6 linked regions of the Macaca fascicularis genome follow. The protein of the gene in region 1 interacts with the protein of each later gene in a biochemical or structural test. Links are inferred from orthologs where the notes say so. Each region holds a gene or a part of one and is shown on either strand. Other genes may lie near its edges.

Region 1 (2,607 bases):
ACAGTGGACATAACAGGAGTATGCTTGTAAGGAACTGTGTCATTGACCCTTCTCTCACTCAGAGTTGTAGTGAGCAGAATATTCAGTCATTGTTTCTGTCCAGGTGGCTGCCTTACTGTCGGGGAAGTTCCAGGGTCTGATTGAGAAGTTTTATGTCATTGATTGTCGCTATCCATATGAGTACCTGGGAGGACACATCCAGGTGAGATGACATGGTGGCCATTAGTAGGGGAGTACTGGAGATAGCTCTTTATTGAGAAGAGTCTGTGGACAAAGGGGCCTAGAATTAGGACAAAGATTACATATTTGAAGCACATCAAGGCTGAGGTCCTCATTGTTTTAATTCTGTATACCTTAAGCAGCTTACTTTCCCTTTCCTTCCTAGATCTATCTCCCTCTTTTCTGTAGGAGCCAAGGGGTCCTACCTAGAAATAAAAACATGAATCCAAGGACTAAAGCACTTTGCAAACACTTAATATTCATGAACATTCCTCGCAGTGATCCCTATACTTCCAGTAGTTCAGTTCTATGAATATTTATTGACCATCTACTACATACCAAGCTCTATGCCAGGCGTTCAGGGTATATACAGAGATATATTTAGACCCCTGCCCTAAAGGTGCTGATAGTCCAGCTTTTCTGGTCCAAATTATCCCAGGTTGGTGTCTCAGTCATTTCTAAGTATTGGCACTGTCTATAAGCCCCTGAGGAAATACTAAAATTCTTTTTCTACAGGGAGCCTTAAACTTGTATAGTCAGGAAGAACTGTTTAGCTTCTTTCTAAAGAAGCCCATTGTCCCTTTGGACACCCAGAAGAGAATAATCATCGTGTTCCACTGTGAATTCTCCTCAGAGAGGGGCCCCCGAATGTGAGTGTCTAAATGGGGTCTGGCGGGTGATGGAAATGGATTTTGAGTTGGACTTCCCACACCAGTTCAGACAGAGACTGACTGGATTCTACAGTTTGAAGAATGTTAGGGAGGTTGAAGGAAGACGTTTCTAAAATTGAAAAGTATGAAACAATAAAGGAAAAGGGACTTGAGAATGAGACCGCAGTGGAGGAAAGGAGGAAGGGTGGTGCTACTTGGACCTTTTTTTTGCAAACACAGTGAGATTGGAAGGTCCTTGTTGAGGTTGGCAATAGTCTATTCCTCTCCTCCCTGCCCAGTGAATAGCCCCTGGGATCCTGACCTTGTTTCTTTCCACCCCACCCATCTCTGGGTTCTCTCTAAAGGTGCCGCTCTCTGCGTGAAGAGGACAGGTCTCTGAACCAGTATCCTGCATTGTACTACCCAGAGCTATATATCCTTAAAGGCGGCTACAGAGACTTCTTTCCAGAATATTTGGTAAAGGGTGGGGCATGCGGGGAGCCAATTTTAGCATGCAACTCCCAGGGCCTGCAAAGCCCTCAGAGAAGAAACTGCTGCTCCTCCGTGGCCACTGCCAGCAGCAGCACCTCTATTATCCTTCGTAGGTAGAGTTCAGGAGTCTAGAGAATCCCTTACTCTGTTCCTTACCTTTCAGGAGCTGTGTGAACCACAGAGCTACTGCCCTATGCATCATCAGGACCACAAGGCTGAGTTGCTGAGGTGTCGAAGCCAGAGCAAAGTGCAGGAAGGGGAGCGGCAGCTGCGGGAGCAGATTGCCCTTCTGGTGAAGGATGTGAGCCCGTGACAACATTCCAACCACTGGCTGCTAACGAGTCACCAAAAGACACTGCAGAAACCCTGAGCAGAAAGAGGCCTTCTGGATGGCCAAACCCAAGATTATCAAAAGATGTCTCTGCAAACCACCAGGCTGCCAACTTGTGTACAGGCCTGGGAATGGCTTCGGTTTCAGCAGAGCTGAAAGCTGGTGGCAGAGTCCTGGAGTGGCTCTATAAGAGCTCTATAAGAGTGGCAGACTTGAGTTGCAGAGAGATTTTTGTTGGTTCAGGGAACTCTGGCATTCCTCTTCCCAACTCCTCGTGTCTTCTCACAGGCCAGCCAACTCTTTCTCTCTGGGCTTCTGGCTGTGCAAGAGAGTTGTCTACCCTCTTTCTTTGTATTTTCCTTCTTTGTTTCCCCCTCTATTTTAAAAATGGAAAAATAAACACTACAGAATGAGACGTGTGATTGTGAGCCTAGCCTGCTCCTAGAAGATCTGTCTACAGAGGAGATCACCAAGTTAGACTACTTCAGACATATTATCTTTATTCTCAGCTGAGGCCAACATGCTTTTCTCTAAACCAGCAATTCTTAGGCCGTGGCTTACATCTGTAATCCTGGCACTTTGGGAGACCGTAGTGGGTGGATCACTTGAGGTCAGGAGTTCGAGGCCAACCTTGCCAACATGGTGAGACCCCCATCTCTACTAAAAATACAAAAATTAGCCAGCATGGTGGCATGCTCCTGTAGTCCCAGCTACTCAGGAAACTGACACAGGAGAATCGCTTGAACTCAGGAGGTGAAGGTTGCAATGAGATCGTGCCACTGCACTCCAACCTGGGCAACAGAGAGAGACTCTGTCTCAGAAAACAAAAACAAAACAAAAAACCAGTAATTCTCAAAGTTTGGACCCTAGATCATCAACATGATCTGAACTTGTTTGAAATACAGATGTTCGGCC
Region 2 (4,251 bases), on another chromosome or scaffold:
AATTAGCCAGGCGTGGTGGTGGGCGCCTGTAGTCTCAGCTACTCGGGAGGCTGAGGCAGGAGAATGGCGTGAGCCTGGGAGGTGGAGCTTGCAGTGAGCCGAGATCGCGCCACTGCACTCCAGCCTGGGCAACAGAGCGAGACTCCGTCTCAAAAAAAAAAAAAAAAGATACATATATTTCCTGGAGCAAGAAAGGTCTCAAACATCGCAAGACAGTTGGGATGCCAACGGATCAAAGGGGAAGCAAGCATGACATAGCCACCCACTACAAGGGCTTACCTATTATCCAAGCTTTGGGAACTAGGTTAGAATCCCAGCTCTGTCGCTAACCAACCTGTGTACTTTAGCCAAGTCACTGTACCTGTCTAGACTTCGGATCGCATGTGTGTCTGTCCATCTCACAGGGTTACCCTGAGGCTAAATGAGGTAACAAATGTCATGAACCTACAAGGTAGACTCGACTCTCGGTAACAGTTAGTGTCACCCCCATCCCACACTACTCTCCCTCTTTGGACCCTGCACCCATGGATTCCATCCACCGCTGGCCAGGAGCTGAGTAGAGGCACCGAACACGTGAAGAGGTGAATGGGCAAGGAAGGTTTCTAGGTCAGGTAGCATTTCCAGGGTTCCCGCCTGCAGGCGTCTACCGAGTCTGGCCCGAGGCTGGCACCCAAAGATGCTTCCAGTCTTCCAGCAGCGACGCACTGACTGTAAGAAAAGTCTGCTTATAAATTCCGCACAGGCATTTAGGAACTGGTCCCTGGGGGCCTCTACAGATTCATTTCGCCCCCGACTCCATCCCCTTTGTGCCACCCTCGTTATTGCACTCTTCCATCCGGATGGCATTTAGCTGGGTCCAGGTCTGTCACCCGCCTGACCACCAGCTCCTTGAGGGCAAGAGGCTCCTGCTGCCCTCGGAGTCCGGCCCAGCCCGCAGCTGCTCAGATCCGGAGACGGGAAGGTTTGTGGGCGAGAGCCTGACGCCAGGGTCACAGTTAAGGATGCAAGAGCCCGGCTCCTTCCCGTAGCCCCGGCCCTGTCATTAAAGCTGGGGCTCCAGTCGGTGCAGCGCAGTCCGAAGGATGCAACCGCAACTTTTGTGCACAGTAGGCTCTCGATCTGTAATCCAGCCAACCCAGGCCTGTAGTCTGTAAATGCCAACTCAGCGGGAGGGCTCTGGCTGTCGCCCAGGGCCGTTTCTCGGCTCTTTCGGGGTTGCCGGAGCGCTCCGTACAGGAGGAACCCGCCGCCCGCGGTAGTCAGTGGAGACCCGGCCAGCGCTTCCCCGCCCTCTTCACCGCCCCCGCGGCGGGGTCTGGGCCAAGTCGCCCCTAGCAACAACAGCCGGGCCGGCTTTCTCAGGCCACGCTGATTGGCGGGACTCCGGGAGGCGGCCTGTCGTCACTTCCGGCAGCCGGAGGCAGCAGAGGAAGCCGAGGAGCGGCCATCTTGGGTCCGTGAGGCTCCGAGGTGCCGGGGTGCGGCGGCAGCAGCGGCGGCCAGCAGGGCGGAGGCTGAGGCAGCAAGCTCGCTAGAGAGGGAGAAGCAGCCGGGCGCAGGCGCCTCCTCCGCAGCCCGTTCCATGGTCAGCGCCCACAGCCCGCGGCGGCCTGTCTTGCGCTCCACTTCCTTCACATCCTCCTCCGCCTCCTCTTTTTCAGACGCCGCCGGCGGCGCTGTGTGGAGGCCCGGGAGCTGAAATTCGCGGCGCGACGGGCGGGAGTGGAGAAGGAGGCGAGGGGGCCCGGGATCGCGGGGCGCCCTGAGGCGAGGGGACGCCGGCGGGCCGAAGCCGGCAGCTCGCCGCAGGCTCGGCTCCGCCACTGCCGCCCTCCCGGGCTCCTCGCCTCGGCCGCCGGGGCAGGGAGAGAATGAGCCCCGGGACCCGCCGGGGGACGGCCCGGGCCAGGCCCGGGATCTAGACGGCCGTAGAGGGAAGGGAGCCGCCTTCCCCACGGCGCCGCTTCGAAACTGCCGTGGACTCGAGGACGCTGGTCGCCGGCCTCCTAAGGCTGTGCTGTTTTGTTTTCGCCCTCGCATTGTGCAGAATTAAAGTGCAGTAAAATGTCCACTAGGACCCCATTGCCAACGGTGAATGAACGAGACACTGAAAACGTAAGTAACCTGGGCGTTGTAGTTGGCGGACCTTCGGGGTGGCCTTCGTGCTCCTCGGGCAGTGCCTTGCAGTCGGGTGTTCCCCCCCAGCCCGAACGCTCTGGAAATAGAGGGCAGGCCGTAGTCACCCAAGAGGCAGCCAGGTCGGACCGTTTCCTCCAGAAGTCCGCCCTGTCCCGCTGTTCGCGGGCGGGTCTACGAAGTATATCGATTATGCCTGCAGTCTAGTCGATTAGTAAAGCCCGTAAGTTGCATCGTTACGAATCGGTGCTTTGAGAGGCCGGGTTGCCGCTCAATGGATTGTGCAAGTGTGCGTGTCAGATCACTGCAGTGGTCAGTGCTTATTTTAACCGAACTCTGCTTTTAACTTGGTCAGGCATTTCTTGAGAGACTATCATATTAATACCATATGTACTGGTGCTGATTAAGAGTAATCGATTGAGTCAAGTGGGCTGTCTCGTTCTTTTAAGATGGAACTAAATTTAATCACAGTCACTAAGTGTCTACTGAGGGATCTTTGCGGTCCCCTTAGGAATTCCAAAACACTAGCGGGCAGCCTTTATTAAGGCATAGGTTCCTTTACATACAAATCTTTTTTGAAGGAGTTAAACATTTTAAAAAGCAGAAAAGCAGATGTATAGTGAAGCTGTGCTCTGCCACTCACTGCCTAGCTGAGGGACACCCGCTGGGGCTTCGCTGTCCTCCTTCCTAAAAAGAGGTTGACTTAGATGAGCTCTTAGGTCCGTTTCAGCGCTCACAGGCTATGATTTTATAAAAGGAACCTTTGATTTTGTGCATGTGAAACTACAAAATGCCAGGAACAGCATTGCTAGAGAATGAGAACTTGTAGTAGAAATGCCATTGAAGAAACGTTTGACAAACTCTGTTCGTTTTCTGAACTCTCCTCTAACACTGGCTTCAAAAGTGTTTCAATCTAGTTGTTGCCTATATTCTGTAAAACGTCTAGTAAATAACTTGTAAAGAAACTTCACTGGCCTTTCATTAAAAGTGTTATGAGGTAATTGCTGGCACGAAATGTCTTCTCTTAGGGAATGCTTCCTTGCTTTGAGTGTTTTCATGCTTTCAGTAATGTCCTGAGATGTTATGGCAATGTTTTAATTTTGATCTTCAAAAATGCCACTTGTTTGCTGGATAGCTATTTGATAATTTAATCTGTAAACGTAAAACCATAGCCTAAAACATCCCTGTAGCATATTAGTGTATAATATTTAATGCTCTTTAGCCCTTAGTGAGTAGAACAGTGGTGTACCTTTCTCCACCTGAGAGAGATTAGAAAATTATATAAAGAGCGAGTAATAGAAACTCTTAGACTAGGTGAGTCAGGGAACTATTTTCTTATGGTCCTTTTAAAGAAACCTTTTTTTGTTTTTTTTTTTTTGAGACAGACCGAGACTGTCTCCCAGGCTGACTGTCTCCCAGGCTGGAGTGTGGTGGTGCGATCTTGGCTCACTGCAGCCTTCGCCTCCCAGGCTGAAGTGATTATCATGCCTCAGCCTCCCGAGTAGCTGAGATTACAGGCATGCACCACCACGCCTGGCTTGCATTTTTGTATTTTTAGTAGACAGGGTTTCACCATGTTGGCCAGGCTGGTCTAGAACTCCTGGCCTCATGTGATCCACCCGCCTCGGCCCCTCAAAGTGCTGATATTACAGGCGTGAGCCAGTGTGCCCAACTGATTAGTTTTGATCATTGATATTCACTCAGAGAAGCAAAACTTTACGTTGAACCAGAGTAGGAGCTCCATGCTTTCTAAACTGAAGCCAAAAACAGTCATAGCAGATTTGTGATAATGAAGGATTTCAAATGGGTCTTCTTTCTCTCTTTCTTTTTTGAGATGGAGTCTGGCTCTGTCTCTCAGACTGGAGTGCTGTGGCACGATCTCGGCTCACTGCAACTTCCACCTCCCAGGTTCAAGTGATTCTCCTGCCTCAGCCTCCTGAGTAGCTAGGATTACAGGCATGCGCCACCACTCCGGGCTAATTTTGTATTTTTAGTAGAGAAGAGGTTTCTCCATGTTTGTCATGCTGGTCTCGATCTCCTGACCTCAGGTGATCCGCCTGCTTCGGCCTCCCAAAGTGCTGGTATCACAGGCGTGAGCCACCACGCCCGGCCATG
Region 3 (3,482 bases), on another chromosome or scaffold:
ATGGCAACTACAAGAAGTGGTAGCTTGGAGACGCTTTTTCAGAATCGTATGTAAATGTAAATAAAATAATCTTTGGAAAACTTTGCTGTTTGTGATATGAAACAGAAAGGAAAAAGGGCGGGCTTACTGGGAAATGCAGTGTCGAGAGGCAAATTCCCCGGGAGCCCTTTTCCTGCCGCTATGTATGTGCATGGGGGTGTGTGTGTGTGCATATATGGTGTGTATGTGGTGTGTTGTGTGTGTGTGGTATGTTGGCTGGGGGAAAGGAAGTTTGCTGGTGTGTGGAGAAAGTAGGAAGTATATAGACTTCAGTTTCCCCAGCCATAAATAGGAACGATAATAACCACTTTGTTCACTGTCAGCACTAGCCAAAATGGGGTGGGGTGGGTGGCCATGCACAGAGAGATTAGGAAAAGGGGTCCGAAATCAATGATCACATATACATATTCATATTCTGTTTCTCACCATTCTTTCAGTAAATAGGAAAGAGATGAACTATAAAACTAGGCACATTTTTTTAATGAACTACAAACTAAATTACAAATAACGTTAATAGCAAGAGCACTCAAGGACAAGGGTGACAGAAACAAATCATAAACAAAAAAAAATGCTTTTTTTTTTTTAAGCACTGTCATTACAAAACCCGAAGGTGCACATGGCAACAAATCCACCCACTCTAACCAAAAAAAAAAAAAAAAAAGCCAACCTTCCTATGGGATATAACCTGAAATATAAATATAATTGTTCATCCTTCTTTTAAAGAAATATTTTTGCCCATGCCCTCACTCAATCACAGCCCTGAAAAAGTGTCAGTACTCTCAAAATGATGCCTAAACCCTAATTTCCAACTCCTATGGGGTAGGAGGTGGACTTCAGAGGAAAACGGGATCAGGGATCCCTGGCAACTGAAGAACTAAGAATACTAAAAGGAAGAGAAAAATTCAAACATCTCTCACCTGCCTCATAAGGCCATGGTGAAGCAATAGATTGGAATGAAGCACAATCCCTGTCCCAGGGCCTCCCAAATTCCTCATGCCTGTAGAAGGGACAAACAAGGGGACTGGGGCCAATCATTTTTCTGCAGCCCCACCCAGGCTGAGTCTTGAGTCTCCCAGCCTATTAGGTGAGGCAGAACACTAACTAGGGTATAAACTGATTGGATCTATTTTTTCAACCGAATTCTTTAAAATAGACTCCTCCCAGTGGTTTTGTTTGACTTGGTTCTCAAAAGTTCCAACTTAGCCCCCTGCTATCATTTGGCCTTTACAAACATTGCGGCAGCAGGAGGCTTGGGATCCTGGTCATCTCAAACACTGGAAATAATAATTACGGGGCATTCAGAGATTGGTACGGCAAATCTAACATGTAGGAAGGCTTTTTTTTTTTTTCTTTTTTTTTTTTTTTAATAGCAACCCTCTTCAGCAGTAACTAAGAGAAGGGGGAAAGGGTGGTGGAGGCTAACTTAAGTGCATCTAATACTGAAACTTCCTTTCATTTTCACTGGTTCCTCCCTTTCACCCCTGTATTCCCAGAGTTGGCTGGCCAAGACTAGAAGGTGAGTGTTTAAGGCAAGATCAGAGGGCCCACCTGAGTCCAAATAGCCCAAGGCCAAGCCAGGTCAAGCCCACACTGGAGCAGAGGGTGAGATTAGGGCTGGAGGCTTCGAGAAGGCTATCAGAGTCGAAGATGGGGTACTGGCTTGGTCACATCCTGGAAGAAAGGGTGAGCCAGGGCTGCCTTGGCCGAAATCCGCTTGTTAGGATCGTAGTGCAGCATTTGCTAGAGGGAGAGATGTATGTTGACTTCAATCATGTGATAGTGGACTAAATGGGCAGCAGATGTTCCCAGAAATCAGGAAACCAGAACTCCTTCTACCCAAGGCGGAATTCTTACTTCCATCCTCCCATAGCTGAATCAGTGTGCCAACAGGGAGAGCAGGAACCAGGGAAACAAAATACTGAGGCCCAGATTTCAGGGTCTCATCCTTCCTTCATCCTGGAAAAGCCCTTCCCTGGGAGAAATGAATGAGGGAAAACAGGTGCCCACTCTCACCGATAACAAGCTCCGTCCATCTTCATCCAGGGGAGGTACAACTTTACTAAAATCTTGCCGGGCCCACTTGGGGAAACTTGGCTTGTAATCAGGCATAGAAGTAACTCCTGGCCACACCACCTCATCTGGGGTCCCCAGAGTCCGAAAGATCCGGAAGAGCTGGTCAATCTCAGAATCTCCAGGGAATAGGGCCCGGCGAGTCACCTGAAAATGGGGAAAGAGAAAATACCAAGACCTATGTTGAAGTCAGTCAAAACTCTCCTCTATACAAAGGAGTTCCCACAGACAGTAGAAGGTCAGCAGGGCCCCATGACTCCCTCCCCAGGGCCTTTCATGGGGTCAGTCACACAGAACCTGAGACAATGAAGTCCCTTCATCTGTCTCCTCGCCCCCTCCTTCCTTCCCCCAACCATGGCTTTGCAGATCCCCAAGGCTGGGTGGGTCTGGGAGGGGCTGAATGTCTGCGATGCCACTGACATGTAGCAAAGGGATCCCAAGCCACTCACGGGGTATGGGGTAGACACTGCAGTCATCCCCCAACCTTGTGATGCAGCCACTTCTAGATAGGAGCACAGCGGGCAGAGGCTCTGTCTTCCATTTCTTCTGTGTTCCCCACAGTACCTAGCATGGTGCTGGCTACCCACTAGGTGCTTAACAAATATTTTTGGATGAATTGAGAGAGGAATATGGACAATTGTAAGGTAATGCACTGGGGGATAAATGCACATTACATATGTACAGGCTAATGGTCTTTAAGCTGTTGGTTACAACCCAGATAAAAGACAATAAAACATATTGCTGATTTGAAGCCTCAGCCTACTGCACTGCACTGTTGTATTAAAGGAGATAGGAGCTTCTACATAAAGCCAGGCCTCAAGGATCCTTCAATCTGAAAAGCCAGAGGTTGAAGGGGGACATGATCTAAATCTTCTTTTTTTTTTTTTTTGAGATGGAATCTCGTTCTGTCGCCCAGGCTGGAGTGCAGTGGTGCGATCTTGGCTCACTGCAACCTCCATCTCCTGGGTTCAAGCGATTCTCCTGCCTTGGCCTCCCAAGTAGCTGGGATTACAGGTGTGTGCCACCACACCTGGCTAATTTTTGTTTTTTTAGTACAGATGGGGTTTCACCATTTTGGCCAGGCTGGTCTCGAACTCCTGACCTCAGGTGATCCACCTATACCTCAGCTTCCCACAGTGCTGGGACTATAGGTGTGAGCCACTGCACTCTGCCTAAATCTGCAATTTAAATGAAGGGTGTGGATAAAGTGACCACAATTGTCTTTACTACATTGCTGGCACCACACAATAAGGTCTACAAGCCTTGAAATGAAGGCCTGAAATAAAAGAGGCACTAAATGGAATCATTCTCCCAAATATATGCAGACTCAGCTAAAATGGCTGCAGAAATGCTTTATGTCATTTCAGGGATAA
Region 4 (3,500 bases), on another chromosome or scaffold:
ATTAAAAAAAACTGGGACTTGCTTTGTTTTTAGAATTGCCATGGGACCAACCCAGTGACAGCTGTCAGGAATATTCTGACTGGAAAGAAAAAAAAACATACCTCAACCCTTGGAAAAAAATCGATTCTGCTCCTCTAGGTAACGGATTATCTTGAGTGAAAGAGTACTGATTTCTTGAAGTCTTGTGCTATTTGAATTTTTTCTTATTTTTTTGTTTTAAACTTAGAAATAATTCATGAATCTTGTAGATAAATTGGTAACTATAAGTAAAAATTAAGGAAAAAATAACTCTTTCATCCCAGAACTCTGCCATAGATTTTTAAAAATATTTTGGGGAGTGTATATTCAGAGCAAGTTGAATCTGTGCTCTTAGGTGGCTTTTTACTTAAAAAAAAAAAAAGTTTTCACATGTGCTATACTTTGTTACAAATAAACTCATTTGTTGCTTAATTATAGGGATGCACTCTAACAGTTGTTTCCTTAGGTGAGTTCATCATTGTGTGAACATCATAGAGTATACTTACATAAATCTAGATAGTACAGCTTACTATAAATCTAGCTATATGGTATAGCCTATTGGTCCCAGGCTGCAAACCTCTATAGCATGTTACTCTATTGAGTACTGTAAGGAATTGTAACATAATGGTATTTGTGTATCTAAATATAGGAAAAGTATAGTAAAAATACAGTGTTATAATCTAATGGGACTGTCTGTTATACATGTGGTCCATTCTTGACTGAAACATCATTCATGTGGCCCATGAGTATGTAAAATGAATATATGTATATTATTTATATGTGTTTTTATACAAAATGAGATAACACTAATATTTTGTAACTGCTTTTGGTTTTCATGTGCAGTGAACATTCTTCCATGACTATAATTGTAGGTCTACGTCGTTGTTTTAAAGGCTGTGATGATATTCTGCCATGTGGATATGCCTTATGATACTCTTTTAATCACTTTGTTGGAGATTTTTCTAAATTTTCACAGATACGAAAGAGATATAAGTATCTGTGTAACTTAATCATGACGCATACCCTTAAATTGTTCATTGAAATCCCCAGAAGCAAAATTGCAGCATCAAAGATGTAGTTTTTATTATTATGGCTTATTTTGTCAAATTGCTTCCTGAAAGTTCAAACCATTTCATCACAGTCTCATCAATTTACATTAAAAAAAAAAAACAAAAAACTAACAGGCCTTTAAATGATAGTCTTTTATTTTTATTTTAAATTTAATACTAATGAAGTTGTATACACTTTATTTATATGTTAGTTTTTTGTCTATTTTGCTCATTTTTGTCAAGCATATTTTTCTTACCAGTTTGAAGTTTTGTTTTTTTTTTTGTAACATATTGACCTTTGCACTTGTTACAAATACTTTTCACAGTTTATCATTTATTTTCATTTTGTTTTGCTATATTGACATTCAAATCTATTATCTTGTCCTTTGTGGTCCCTGACTATAATGTCTTTGGAAAGGTCTTCTACCTCTACTATTTAAAAGTTCCCTATTTTTTCATTTAATGGTTTTATGGCTTCATTTTTACATTTAAATCTTTGGTCCATTAGGAAATAATTTTGATGTAGGGAGATATATGAATTTTTTCTCAAGAAAATCAAGATACCTTAGGATGGTTAGATTACTGTCTCTTTAAAAGTTATTGGTAAGTAAATGTTCATTATAAAACTGAATAAGGGGGTCACGTGAGAACATGACATTGAAGTAATGAAATTCAGTATTGAAAACGGATATAAGGGGGTTTCTGTATCTTTTTGTTAATCTTGTCACATGAGGAGAAACATTTCCACCTGGCTCTTGTTCTCAGTTGCAAACATTTGAGAATCAGATCAAGGGAAGACTATTCCAAGATATAGACAGCAGCAGAGAAAAACCGCATGAAATTAAAGCAATAATTTAGTAGCTTTAATTCTTTCTCTTCCCCAGAAATAATATTTAGACATGAGTAGGCCAACAGAAAATGTGTTTCTTACCGCAAGCCATAGGCTTCTCGAATCTCCGTGACGCTTTCATGAATGTTGTCTTAATGTTTGTTTTTAGCTCTGCTGCATAAAATCCTAGTTGAGAATCCATCAGCAAGAATTACCATTCCAGACATCAAAAAAGATAGATGGTACAACAAACCCCTCAAGAAAGGTAATATCCTTAAACTACATGTTTGTTTTTCTGTGGAAGAAAAGGTAATTGCAAAGTCATTATCACAAATCAACAACACATGATGGCTATGATCTCTGTCCTCATGGAGATTATAATGTCTACTAGGAAAAAAATATAAAAATAATTTTATTAATAATTATAAAAGGGAAAGTCAGGGAACTATAGCTAAGTGTTTGACCAAGTCTAAGGGACAGGGAAGACTTCTTCCTGAAGAAATTACATTAAATCTAAGATTTGAAGATTAAAGGGAAGCTAGCCAGGCAAAGTAAGTGGCAGATTTGATTCTGAACAGGGGAAGCAGTATTTGAAAACTCTTAGGTTTTTGAAAGTCTGATGCATTTGAGAAACTTGAAAGATCAGTATGGCACGAGCCATGTCTGCTGTGTTCATCATTGCATCGTCAGTGCTTAGCACAGTATATGGTGCACCATAGGCACTCATTAAATATTTGTTGAGTGAATGAGTGAACAGGGAAGTGGGAGAGGAAGAGAGGTGTGAGATGAGGACAGAGAGGTCACTAGTGGCCCGTTTGTGGAAGAAGACCTTGTAAGCCATGTTAAGGATTTGGGGCTTTAACTTAAGACCACTGGGGAGACCTTTGGGAGATTTTAAGCAAGAATATGACATAGTCATATCTTTGGTTTAAAAATATCTCTCTGATGACCTTCCCCCCCACCTCCATTGTTTTTTATGAATAGGGAAAGATTCAGGGTACCGTAGTTTTTCTGCTAGTTGTCTAGTTGTGGTAAGATGGTGGCTTGGAGTAGGTTAGGGCAGTGGTATTGGAGAGATGAGATGATCCCAAAGAAATTTAAGAACTAGTATTGATAGGACTGTTAGGCTGTGAATGGGAGGAGAGAGGACAATGACTAGAGATTATGAATGAGAAACATTCAGAGAGTTATTAAAGAAGAATTAATATTTAACTCTGTCCTCATGGAAAGAAAAGAGTTAATGTTTAAAAATTCATTCTTCTTTAATACCTCTCTGCCTGTTTCTTTCTCGTTGTTCTAACTTAAAGTCCAATTCTCCCCTGAGGACACTGCTTCCTCTGAAGTGGTAGGTATTTTCTTTCCCATACCCTCATGTCCTTTGATCTGGATATGGCACAAGTGTCCTCCTTATTTTTCATTGTTACTTTCTCCCATCTTCCTGTATGTCTCTCCCCTCTAACTTTTGAACCCCCAATTAAAATTTCTGCCATACTATCATAGTCTCCATAATGACCCTTGATGTAATTTTCGTCATGATTCTTGGTGATTTAAATATTTATTTGGATGATCCTCCTAATATCCTGACTTCACTGTTACTTGACCTT
Region 5 (3,500 bases), on another chromosome or scaffold:
TTCTCCTGGCTCAGCCTCCCGAGTAGCTGGGACTACAGGCGCTCGCCACCTCGCCTGGCTAGTTTTTTTTTTTTTGTACTTTTTAGTAGAGACGGGGTTTCACTGTGTTAGCCAGGATGGTCTCGATCTCCTGACCTCGTGATCCGCCCGTCTCGGCCTCCCAAAGTGCTGGGATTACAGGCTTGAGCCACCACGCCCGGCCTACAAATATATATTTGTATAGATTCCCTTTAAAAATATTCCCAGGACTGCAATAACCAAATATATCATTTTGGTTGAATTTTTGTGTTTATTTGGTATGTTCGCAAAACATTTTCTATTACCCATTTGTATTTGTATTGAAATTGACACCTTACATTTCTGCCACGTGAAGGGTTGTTTATTATCTTAAAGTGAAATGAAAGGTTGATTGTTCTAAGTTGCTTTTTTCATTTCCCTGCTTTTTAAAGATCTTCTCAAACAAATTTGTAAACTTTACCCCAACAGTTTTCTATGATTTTGGACAATATGATTGTGTGTATCACGGCTTACGGTTTCACCCAGCTGTGAGATGTGTGTGTTGGTAACTTTGATTCTACTTATCTACTGCATGAATCTGAGGGTCATGCCTGCCTTTCTGTGTAGTACCTTCATGAAAACGGTATTATACACCGTGACTTAAAGCCAGAGAATGTTTTACTGTCATCTCAAGAAGAGGACTGTCTTATAAAGGTAAGAAATTGGCATTCTGTATGTGGCTATTCCTGTAGATTCTTGTTCAGAAACTTTTAATTCCTCAAATAAAAAGTGGGAGTGTTAAAAGGTTGAGAATCTGACCTCTTACCAATTATTTTAGAGATCAGGTGACATTGCTCTTATCCAGATTTGAATGAGCATTTATTGAGCTCTGTTGTGTGCAAGTGACCTTTGTGCTGAGAGAGAGAGAGGAGGGGTCTAAATGGACTAGTGGCCTGGGCACGGTGGCTCACACCTGTAATCCCAGCACTTTGGGAGGCCGAGGCAGGCAGATCACCTGAGGTCAGGGGTTTGAGACCAGCCTGGCCAACATGGCAAAACCCCATCTCTACTAAAAATACAAAAATTTAGCTGGGCATGGTGGTGGGTGCCTGTAATCCCAGCTACTTGGGAGGCTGAGGCACGAGAATCACTTGAACCTGGGAGGCAGAGGTTGCAGTGAGCTAAGATCGCACCACTGTCCTCCAGCCTGTGCAAAAGGTCGAGACATCATCTCAGAATAGGTGAATGAATGAATGAATGAATGAATGAGTAATCACGTGCCCTGCCTTTCCGTGTTTCTCAAGCCTGGCATCACTTTAGAATCTCTTGTTAGGATTTATGACATCCAGGCTTTACCTCAGAAGCTGAGAGTGGCACTCAGTTATAAGCATGTGTTTCCAAGCTCCCCAGGTATTCCATAGTGCAGCCAAGTTTGAGACACTGGGGCCTAAGAACCACATAGAACTAATTAGAATCCTGAAGTGTCTGTGATAATGGCAATAAGCTTTTTGTAAGATTACAGGGGACATAGGTTAAGTTGGAAAGCCTGAGTGTTGATATTCCTAGGCTCAGGAATTTTAATTTAAGCAAAATTAAATGTCTTAACTTGCAAAGACATGAATCTGTAGATTCCAGATTAATGGCAGGTGTGAATTGTACAATAGAAACTGATCTAGCCTACATGTCTTCTTGGACTGGCAGACTATGTTAATCTTTTTATTTATGACATAGTTCAACATTATCCCCTTTTGTACTGAATTTTAGATTACTGATTTTGGGCACTCCAAAATTTTGGGGGAGACCTCTCTCATGAGAACCTTATGTGGAACCCCCACCTACTTGGCTCCTGAAGTTCTTGTTTCTGTTGGGACTGCTGGATATAACCGTGCTGTGGACTGCTGGAGTTTAGGAGTTATTCTTTTTATCTGGTAAGAAACATTTTCATTGCTTCACAGACTGGTAGGAGGTGATTAAATGAAGTCACAAATGTGTCTTGCTGTGTTGTCCAGGCTGGCATGCAGTGGCTTGATTTTGGCTAACTGTAGCCTCTGCGTCCAGGGTCAAGTGATCCTCCCACCTCAGCCTCCTGACTAGCTGGGACTACAGGCGCACACCACCATGCCCAGCTAATTTTTCTATTTTTTGTAGTGATGGAATTTTGCCATGTTGCCCAGGCTGGTCTCGAACTCCTGGGCTCAAGTGATCCTCCTGCCTCAGCCTCCCAGAGTGCTGGGATTACAAGCATGAGCCATTGTGCCCAGCCTAGCTCACTTTTTGACCATTGATATAAAGAAAAATCTTGACTTTTCATTATGCTGAGAAAGAAATCTTCATATCTGAATGCCACTGAGAATGCCACTTGATTTCTTTTCCTTTCTCTCTCTACCAATATTAAGCCTTAGTGGGTATCCACCTTTCTCTGAGCATAGGACTCAAGTGTCACTGAAGGATCAGATCACCAGTGGAAAATACAACTTCATTCCTGAAGTCTGGGCAGAGGTCTCAGAGAAGGGTATGAATACGAAAGGGTTAAGAATTTGTGGTATGCTAAAATGTGTATTTGCTGTGGTGGGAGTTTCTTTCCAAATTCCATGGTGTTTTCTCCTGTCAATTCTGTTCTTATTTTCTGTTGTTAGTTTCACACCATTTGAGAGGCACTGGAAATTATTAAGAGTGTGCACTCAGGTCCTGGGTCTGCTACTACTTAGCTGTGTGGCCTTAGGCAAGTTATTTAACCTCTGTCTCCAATTTCTTTCTGTGTAAAGGGACCCTCAATAATCCCTACCTTAAAAGGTTTTTGTAAGGGTTAAGTATAATGTACACAAGTGCCTGGTACCTATTTTAGTGCCCAAAAAAGTGCACTTGTAACTTTTTAGTTACAGGGTTTCCTTTGAGTAAGCAAGCATGTAAAAACTAGATGTCATTAGTTACCTTGTATTTTATAATTTATCCTGGCAACTTTAGTTCCCCAAAGAGAAAGTAGAAAATTAAATGTCAAATAATATAACATAGGTGATTGTGTTAAATGTCAGAATATTTAAGGAATAATAGTGTTGTAATATACAAGCCAGCGTGCATTTGTTGCTTGCTGGAGTAGTCAAGTTTTATTTCTGACAAGTCTGCAGTTCCAGGAATCCTCTCCCTGGCTGAGTAACTCTCACCCATCCATCTGTAGATGTCAGGGAGAGTTTGCTACGTATCCCAAGTATCTTAGAATTGGGTGGAAGTTTAGCTTTAATTAGTTTGACCTTGAGTCAACAGGCAACAAGAGAGGGAACAGGCAGCGAAGAGGTCGTGACTGACATCCCAGCAGCAGGAGACAGGGAGTGTCATTATCATTCCTGGTCTTCTCATAGTACTCTGAATACAGAGAGTGAGGAAGATTAGGGGGCCCTGTCTGCTGACTCTGTGATGATCTCAGACCCTCTCTGCTCTTTCTGGATGGTGGCCTGTTAATTCTGGCATACTATTACGATTTAATATATTTATCCTTTTCACTGTGA
Region 6 (3,984 bases), on another chromosome or scaffold:
GGCAGGCAGCGTGTAGTGAACCTGCTTGATGCAGCGGTACGTCTCCTTCAGGTCAGCTGTCTCAAAGGGAGGGCTCCCGCAGAGCAGCGTGTACCTATAGGGCAGGGCCAAGGGGTCAGGAGTAAAGTGGAGGGGATACCCCACCCACACACCCACCACCTGTCTGCTGCCGAACCTGGACCCTGCGACTCACATGACACAGCCCAGTGACCACACATCCGCCTCGGGCCCATGGCCCTGTCTCAGTAGCACTTCTGGAGCCACATAGTTGGGGGTGCCACAGATGGTCCTGAAAGAGGGTGGGGAGGAGGAGAAAAGGCTGAGACCCAGCCCAGCAGCCCCCCCACCCCTTCCCCCACTGTGAGTCCAGACAAAGCAGCTGCCTGTCACCAAAGGCCAGAGAACTCCTGCTTGTCCTGGGACAATGGATGCCAGGGATGGCAGCTGAGTCCCCGCCCACCCGCCTGGCCCAGCTGCTCAGCTGCTCTTCATGACAGGGGGAGGGCCTGACCCCCAGCCCAGTCCCCTCCTCCAGGGTCAACACAGAGAGTCCACAGCTGATCCCTTCCCCCTTCCTCACTCCTGTCTCTCAGACAGTCATCAGGCTGTCACCTCCCATGGTTTGTGCCACACACACACCAACACCAGCTGTCACAACCCCCATAAACACTTATCTGCCACATATGCTGTCTGTGTCACACACACAAAGTACGATGGCCACAGCAGGGTCTTCTTACACCCAGTGTCATATCCTACCATTCCCACACTCTCAGTCTGTCTCTCACACACAAACACACACACACGCTGCCTGTAACCTTCCCCTATCCACACGAAGGGTAAGTCATATGCCTCCAAGAATCTGTACACCCCTATCTGTCTCAGGGACTCAGGGTCACCTACCCTATCTGTGTCACACACCTATAGGATTCTACCCCTCTCCACTGGTCCCGGTAACACAGGCTGCCACCTCCACCTTCACACATGCATAAACAGCCCCTCATCCCTTCCCATTTATCTCATGCACACATCAAGCAGTCACCTTGCCTCCCACATACATATGCACTGTCTGTCACGCATGTCATCTGTATCACACACAGGCTCCTTTCTTCAAAACTCACTTCTTCCTCTGCTCCGGAGGCTCCAACCGGGCTGCCAGCCCAAAATCCCCCACCTTCAGTTCCATGTTCTCAGTGATGAAAAAATTTCCTAGATGGGGAAAGAGAGGTGTGTCAGATTCTTTCCTTCCTTCCTCCCTCCCTCCCCAACCTCCCATCCTCCAGGCTCAGGAGTCTCACCCAACTTGAGGTCCCGGTGCAAGATGCCGCGCTGGTGCAAGTACTTGAGGCCGGAAAGAATCTGCCGCAGGTAGTAGCGCACTTCTGGCTCCAACAGGGTGTGCCGGGCCTTCCAGATGTGGGCCAGGGACTGCAAAGAGCCACTGCCTCAGCCCCTGGTGAGCCCTCCCTCCCCCTTCCCCTCCATCTGTGCTCCCAGAGGAAGAAACAAGGCCCGAGCTTTGGGTCTTAAGACTCTCTTCTCTCCTTCACCCTCATCCCTGCGGGTATCACCATCTTTCACCTTTCGACTGCAGAGCTCCAGGAAAATGTAGATGTTGTCAGCGTCCTCAAAGTGGTGCGAAAAACGCACGATGTGGCGGTGCTGCAGGTCTCGGTGCAGCTCAATCTCATTTAGGATCTGCGATGAGGGCGCAGGGTCGTCATCCTTCCATGGTTCCCATGCCACCGTCCCCACCCCACCCCTCGCCCGCTGAGCCTGGACCTACCTTCTCGCGCTGATGCGGCTTGGCGACGCGGCTCTGCGGGATGACTTTGACAGCGTAGGCGCTGCCAGTCTCTGTGTCAGTGGCCTCGTAGCAGCGGGCGAAGCCCCCCTGTGAAGAGGGGGCGTCAGGCTGGGTGTTCCAGGGGGGCCGACTCTGGCCCGCGGGCGTCCCCGCGTTGGGGGTCAAGTGGCCACGCCCGGCTTGGTGCCAGAAATGAGGCCGGCCGAGACCCCCACCTCCACCATCACCACCCCGCGGACGTCCCCCGGCCCACCTTGCCCAACAAGCGGCCTTTGAAGTAGGTGCGGCCACTGCGCGGGTCCGTGATGAGGCGCCCGGGGTCTGACGTCGGTAGCCCGGCCAGCATCTCCAGCTCAGGTCCGGGCAAGGCACTCGGAGGCGGCCCGGGCCCGGCCGGGGGAGCGGGCTCGGCGGCCGCACGCTGGAAGGGGCGCGGGGACAGGAAACCAGTGGCGGGCTCCATGCGGGCGGCGCGTCGCAGCGCGGGCCCGGCTTCTTCTCGGTTCCGCCCGGCCCCGGCCGCGCGTGGCGCTGCCTGTATTTGCTACGCTGCGCTCGCGCCCGGGGGAGCCCAGCGTTTTTATCAATGAACGCCTGCCCCCTCCCCGGCGTCTCGTCACCAAGAGTCCCGCCCCCTTCCTGGCAGCGAGTCGAGGAGAGGCCCCTCCCATGCCCGGCCTTACATCACCCAGAAGCTCCTCCCCCCCGCAACGCACTGCCAGGCCCCGCCTCCTGGCTGCGCCCCGGGGCGCAGCCCGGCAGCTAGTCACCATGCAGGTGCTACCAGGCCGCCGGGGCCAGCTGATCCCTGTCCGCTTCTCACCCCTCCTTGGCCACTGCGAGTCCCGCTCATGGGGGCCTCTTTCTTTCCCCATCCTTCGGGGCGTGTGCTGAAGTCCGAGTGGGGCCCGGGCATCTGGGGGCGTCCCCCAGCAACTAGATAGATCAGCGTTCCAGCCAGCAGCTGAGAGGCAGGGGCGGCGCTCGCTTTTCCCCAGGCGTGTCACCCGACACTCCCCTTTCAGTGTGCCGGACCGCGTGTGTCCCTCCCCCTCGCCCGGGGCCCGGCCCAGTGCTGCCCTCTTTAGGGCCTGGAAGGAAGGCACAGTCTCGCGCCTGGCTTGCCTGGCCTGAGGGCTGCCTTGCCAGGTTTAGGAGTCCAGTCAAGCAGAGACTGGACCCTTTTACCATGCTCCAGGCCACATCTTCCGCTACCCACTTCTACACTCTTGAGGGGCAGATTTCGGGTTCCTGCGGGGTCCCCAATTCCCTTCCTCTGAAAATACCCGCGGGCCTGGGTCAGCAGCCAGAAGGCCAGAAAGTGAATGGGAATTGGATTTTCTTTTTTCTTTTTTTTTTTTTTTTGAGACGGAGTCTCACTGTGTCGCCCAGGTTGGAGTGCAGTGGCGCAATCTCCGCTCACTGCAAGCTCTGCCGCCTCCCAGGTTCACGCCATTCTCCTGGCTCAGCCACCCTAGAAGCTGGGACTACAGGGTGCCCGCCACCACGCCCGGCTAATTTTTTTTGTATTTTTAGTATAGTAGAGATGGGGTTTCATCGTGTTTGCCAGGATGATCTCGATCTCCTGACCTCGTGATCCGCCCGCCTCGGCCTCCCAAAGTGCTGGGATTACAGGCGTGAGCCACCGCGCCCGGCCCTTTTTTTTTTTTTTTTTTTTTTTTTTTTGAGACAGAGTTTCGCTCTTGTTGCCCAGGCTGGAGTGCAATGGCGCGATCTTGACTCACCCCAAACTCTGCCTTCCAAGTTCAAGCGATTCTCCTGCCTCAGCCTCCCAAGCAGCTGGGATTACAGGCGTGCGCCATCACACCCGGCTAATTTTGTATTTTTTTTTTTTTTAAGTAGAGATAGGGTTTCTCCACGTTGGTCAGACTGATCTGGAACTCCCAGCCTCAGGTGATCTGCCCACTTCAGCCTCCCAAAGTGTTGGGATTACAGGCGTGAGCCACCGCGCCTGGCCGGGAATTGGATTTTCTCAAATGCTAGACACGGGCAATTGGGCAGCTAGTCTCTGGACCATGTGGACCCCTAGACCCCTGCGCAATGCCCGAGACAGAGGCCCAAGACCACAGGTCTCCTAGCCTTGTCTCTCACCTCTCTGCCCACCCTCTGCACCAGCCAATCAATTACCATGCCATTCCTCAAAAGATTTATTGAGAGCA

The links.
Region 2: of the proteins of CDC25C (region 1) and MARK3, one has a biochemical effect on the other in vitro, tested with the Homo sapiens proteins (3 studies listed by BioGRID, with this or other methods). The link is inferred for Macaca fascicularis from reciprocal best matches to the Homo sapiens genes CDC25C and MARK3.
Region 3: of the proteins of CDC25C (region 1) and CDK2, one has a biochemical effect on the other in vitro, tested with the Homo sapiens proteins (3 studies listed by BioGRID). The link is inferred for Macaca fascicularis from reciprocal best matches to the Homo sapiens genes CDC25C and CDK2.
Region 4: of the proteins of CDC25C (region 1) and CHEK1, one has a biochemical effect on the other in vitro, tested with the Homo sapiens proteins (16 studies listed by BioGRID and IntAct, with this or other methods). The link is inferred for Macaca fascicularis from reciprocal best matches to the Homo sapiens genes CDC25C and CHEK1.
Region 5: of the proteins of CDC25C (region 1) and CHEK2, one has a biochemical effect on the other in vitro, tested with the Homo sapiens proteins (14 studies listed by BioGRID). The link is inferred for Macaca fascicularis from reciprocal best matches to the Homo sapiens genes CDC25C and CHEK2.
Region 6: of the proteins of CDC25C (region 1) and PLK3, one has a biochemical effect on the other in vitro, tested with the Homo sapiens proteins (2 studies listed by BioGRID, with this or other methods). The link is inferred for Macaca fascicularis from reciprocal best matches to the Homo sapiens genes CDC25C and PLK3.

The regions. Positions count from the first base shown.
Region 1 is NC_088380.1:144,781,430-144,784,036, reverse strand, and holds the end of CDC25C (M-phase inducer phosphatase 3), read left to right. Parts: intron 1-103; coding exon 104-202; intron 203-735; coding exon 736-869; intron 870-1,234; coding exon 1,235-1,346; intron 1,347-1,524; coding exon 1,525-1,674; 3' UTR 1,675-2,107; downstream 2,108-2,607. UniProt on the Homo sapiens protein: Functions as a dosage-dependent inducer in mitotic control. Tyrosine protein phosphatase required for progression of the cell cycle. When phosphorylated, highly effective in activating G2 cells into prophase.
Region 2 is NC_088381.1:171,557,504-171,561,754, forward strand, and holds the start of MARK3 (MAP/microtubule affinity-regulating kinase 3), read left to right. Parts: upstream 1-1,451; 5' UTR 1,452-1,585; exon of another isoform or gene 1,586-1,661; 5' UTR 1,662-2,064; coding exon 2,065-2,115; intron 2,116-4,251. UniProt on the Homo sapiens protein: Serine/threonine-protein kinase. Involved in the specific phosphorylation of microtubule-associated proteins for MAP2 and MAP4. Phosphorylates the microtubule-associated protein MAPT/TAU. Phosphorylates CDC25C on 'Ser-216'.
Region 3 is NC_088385.1:62,750,864-62,754,345, reverse strand, and holds the end of CDK2 (cyclin-dependent kinase 2), read right to left. Parts: intron 2,703-3,482; coding exon 2,559-2,702; intron 2,257-2,558; coding exon 2,053-2,256; intron 1,780-2,052; coding exon 1,675-1,779; 3' UTR 501-1,674; downstream 1-500. UniProt on the Homo sapiens protein: Serine/threonine-protein kinase involved in the control of the cell cycle; essential for meiosis, but dispensable for mitosis. Phosphorylates CABLES1, CTNNB1, CDK2AP2, ERCC6, NBN, USP37, p53/TP53, NPM1, CDK7, RB1, BRCA2, MYC, NPAT, EZH2.
Region 4 is NC_088388.1:124,191,544-124,195,043, forward strand, and holds part of CHEK1 (serine/threonine-protein kinase Chk1), read left to right. Parts: intron 1-33; coding exon 34-138; intron 139-2,065; coding exon 2,066-2,161; intron 2,162-3,500. UniProt on the Homo sapiens protein: Serine/threonine-protein kinase which is required for checkpoint-mediated cell cycle arrest and activation of DNA repair in response to the presence of DNA damage or unreplicated DNA.
Region 5 is NC_088384.1:22,972,205-22,975,704, forward strand, and holds part of CHEK2 (serine/threonine-protein kinase Chk2), read left to right. Parts: intron 1-486; exon of another isoform or gene 487-624; coding exon 625-711; intron 712-1,761; coding exon 1,762-1,925; intron 1,926-2,393; coding exon 2,394-2,509; intron 2,510-3,500. UniProt on the Homo sapiens protein: Serine/threonine-protein kinase which is required for checkpoint-mediated cell cycle arrest, activation of DNA repair and apoptosis in response to the presence of DNA double-strand breaks.
Region 6 is NC_088375.1:189,941,727-189,945,710, forward strand, and holds the start of PLK3 (serine/threonine-protein kinase PLK3), read right to left. Parts: upstream 2,801-3,984; 5' UTR 2,721-2,800; coding exon 2,628-2,720; intron 2,362-2,627; exon of another isoform or gene 2,268-2,361; coding exon of another isoform or gene 2,226-2,267; coding exon 2,058-2,225; intron 1,892-2,057; coding exon 1,784-1,891; intron 1,696-1,783; coding exon 1,579-1,695; intron 1,426-1,578; coding exon 1,296-1,425; intron 1,207-1,295; coding exon 1,119-1,206; intron 290-1,118; coding exon 194-289; intron 95-193; coding exon 1-94. UniProt on the Homo sapiens protein: Serine/threonine-protein kinase involved in cell cycle regulation, response to stress and Golgi disassembly. Polo-like kinases act by binding and phosphorylating proteins that are already phosphorylated on a specific motif recognized by the POLO box domains.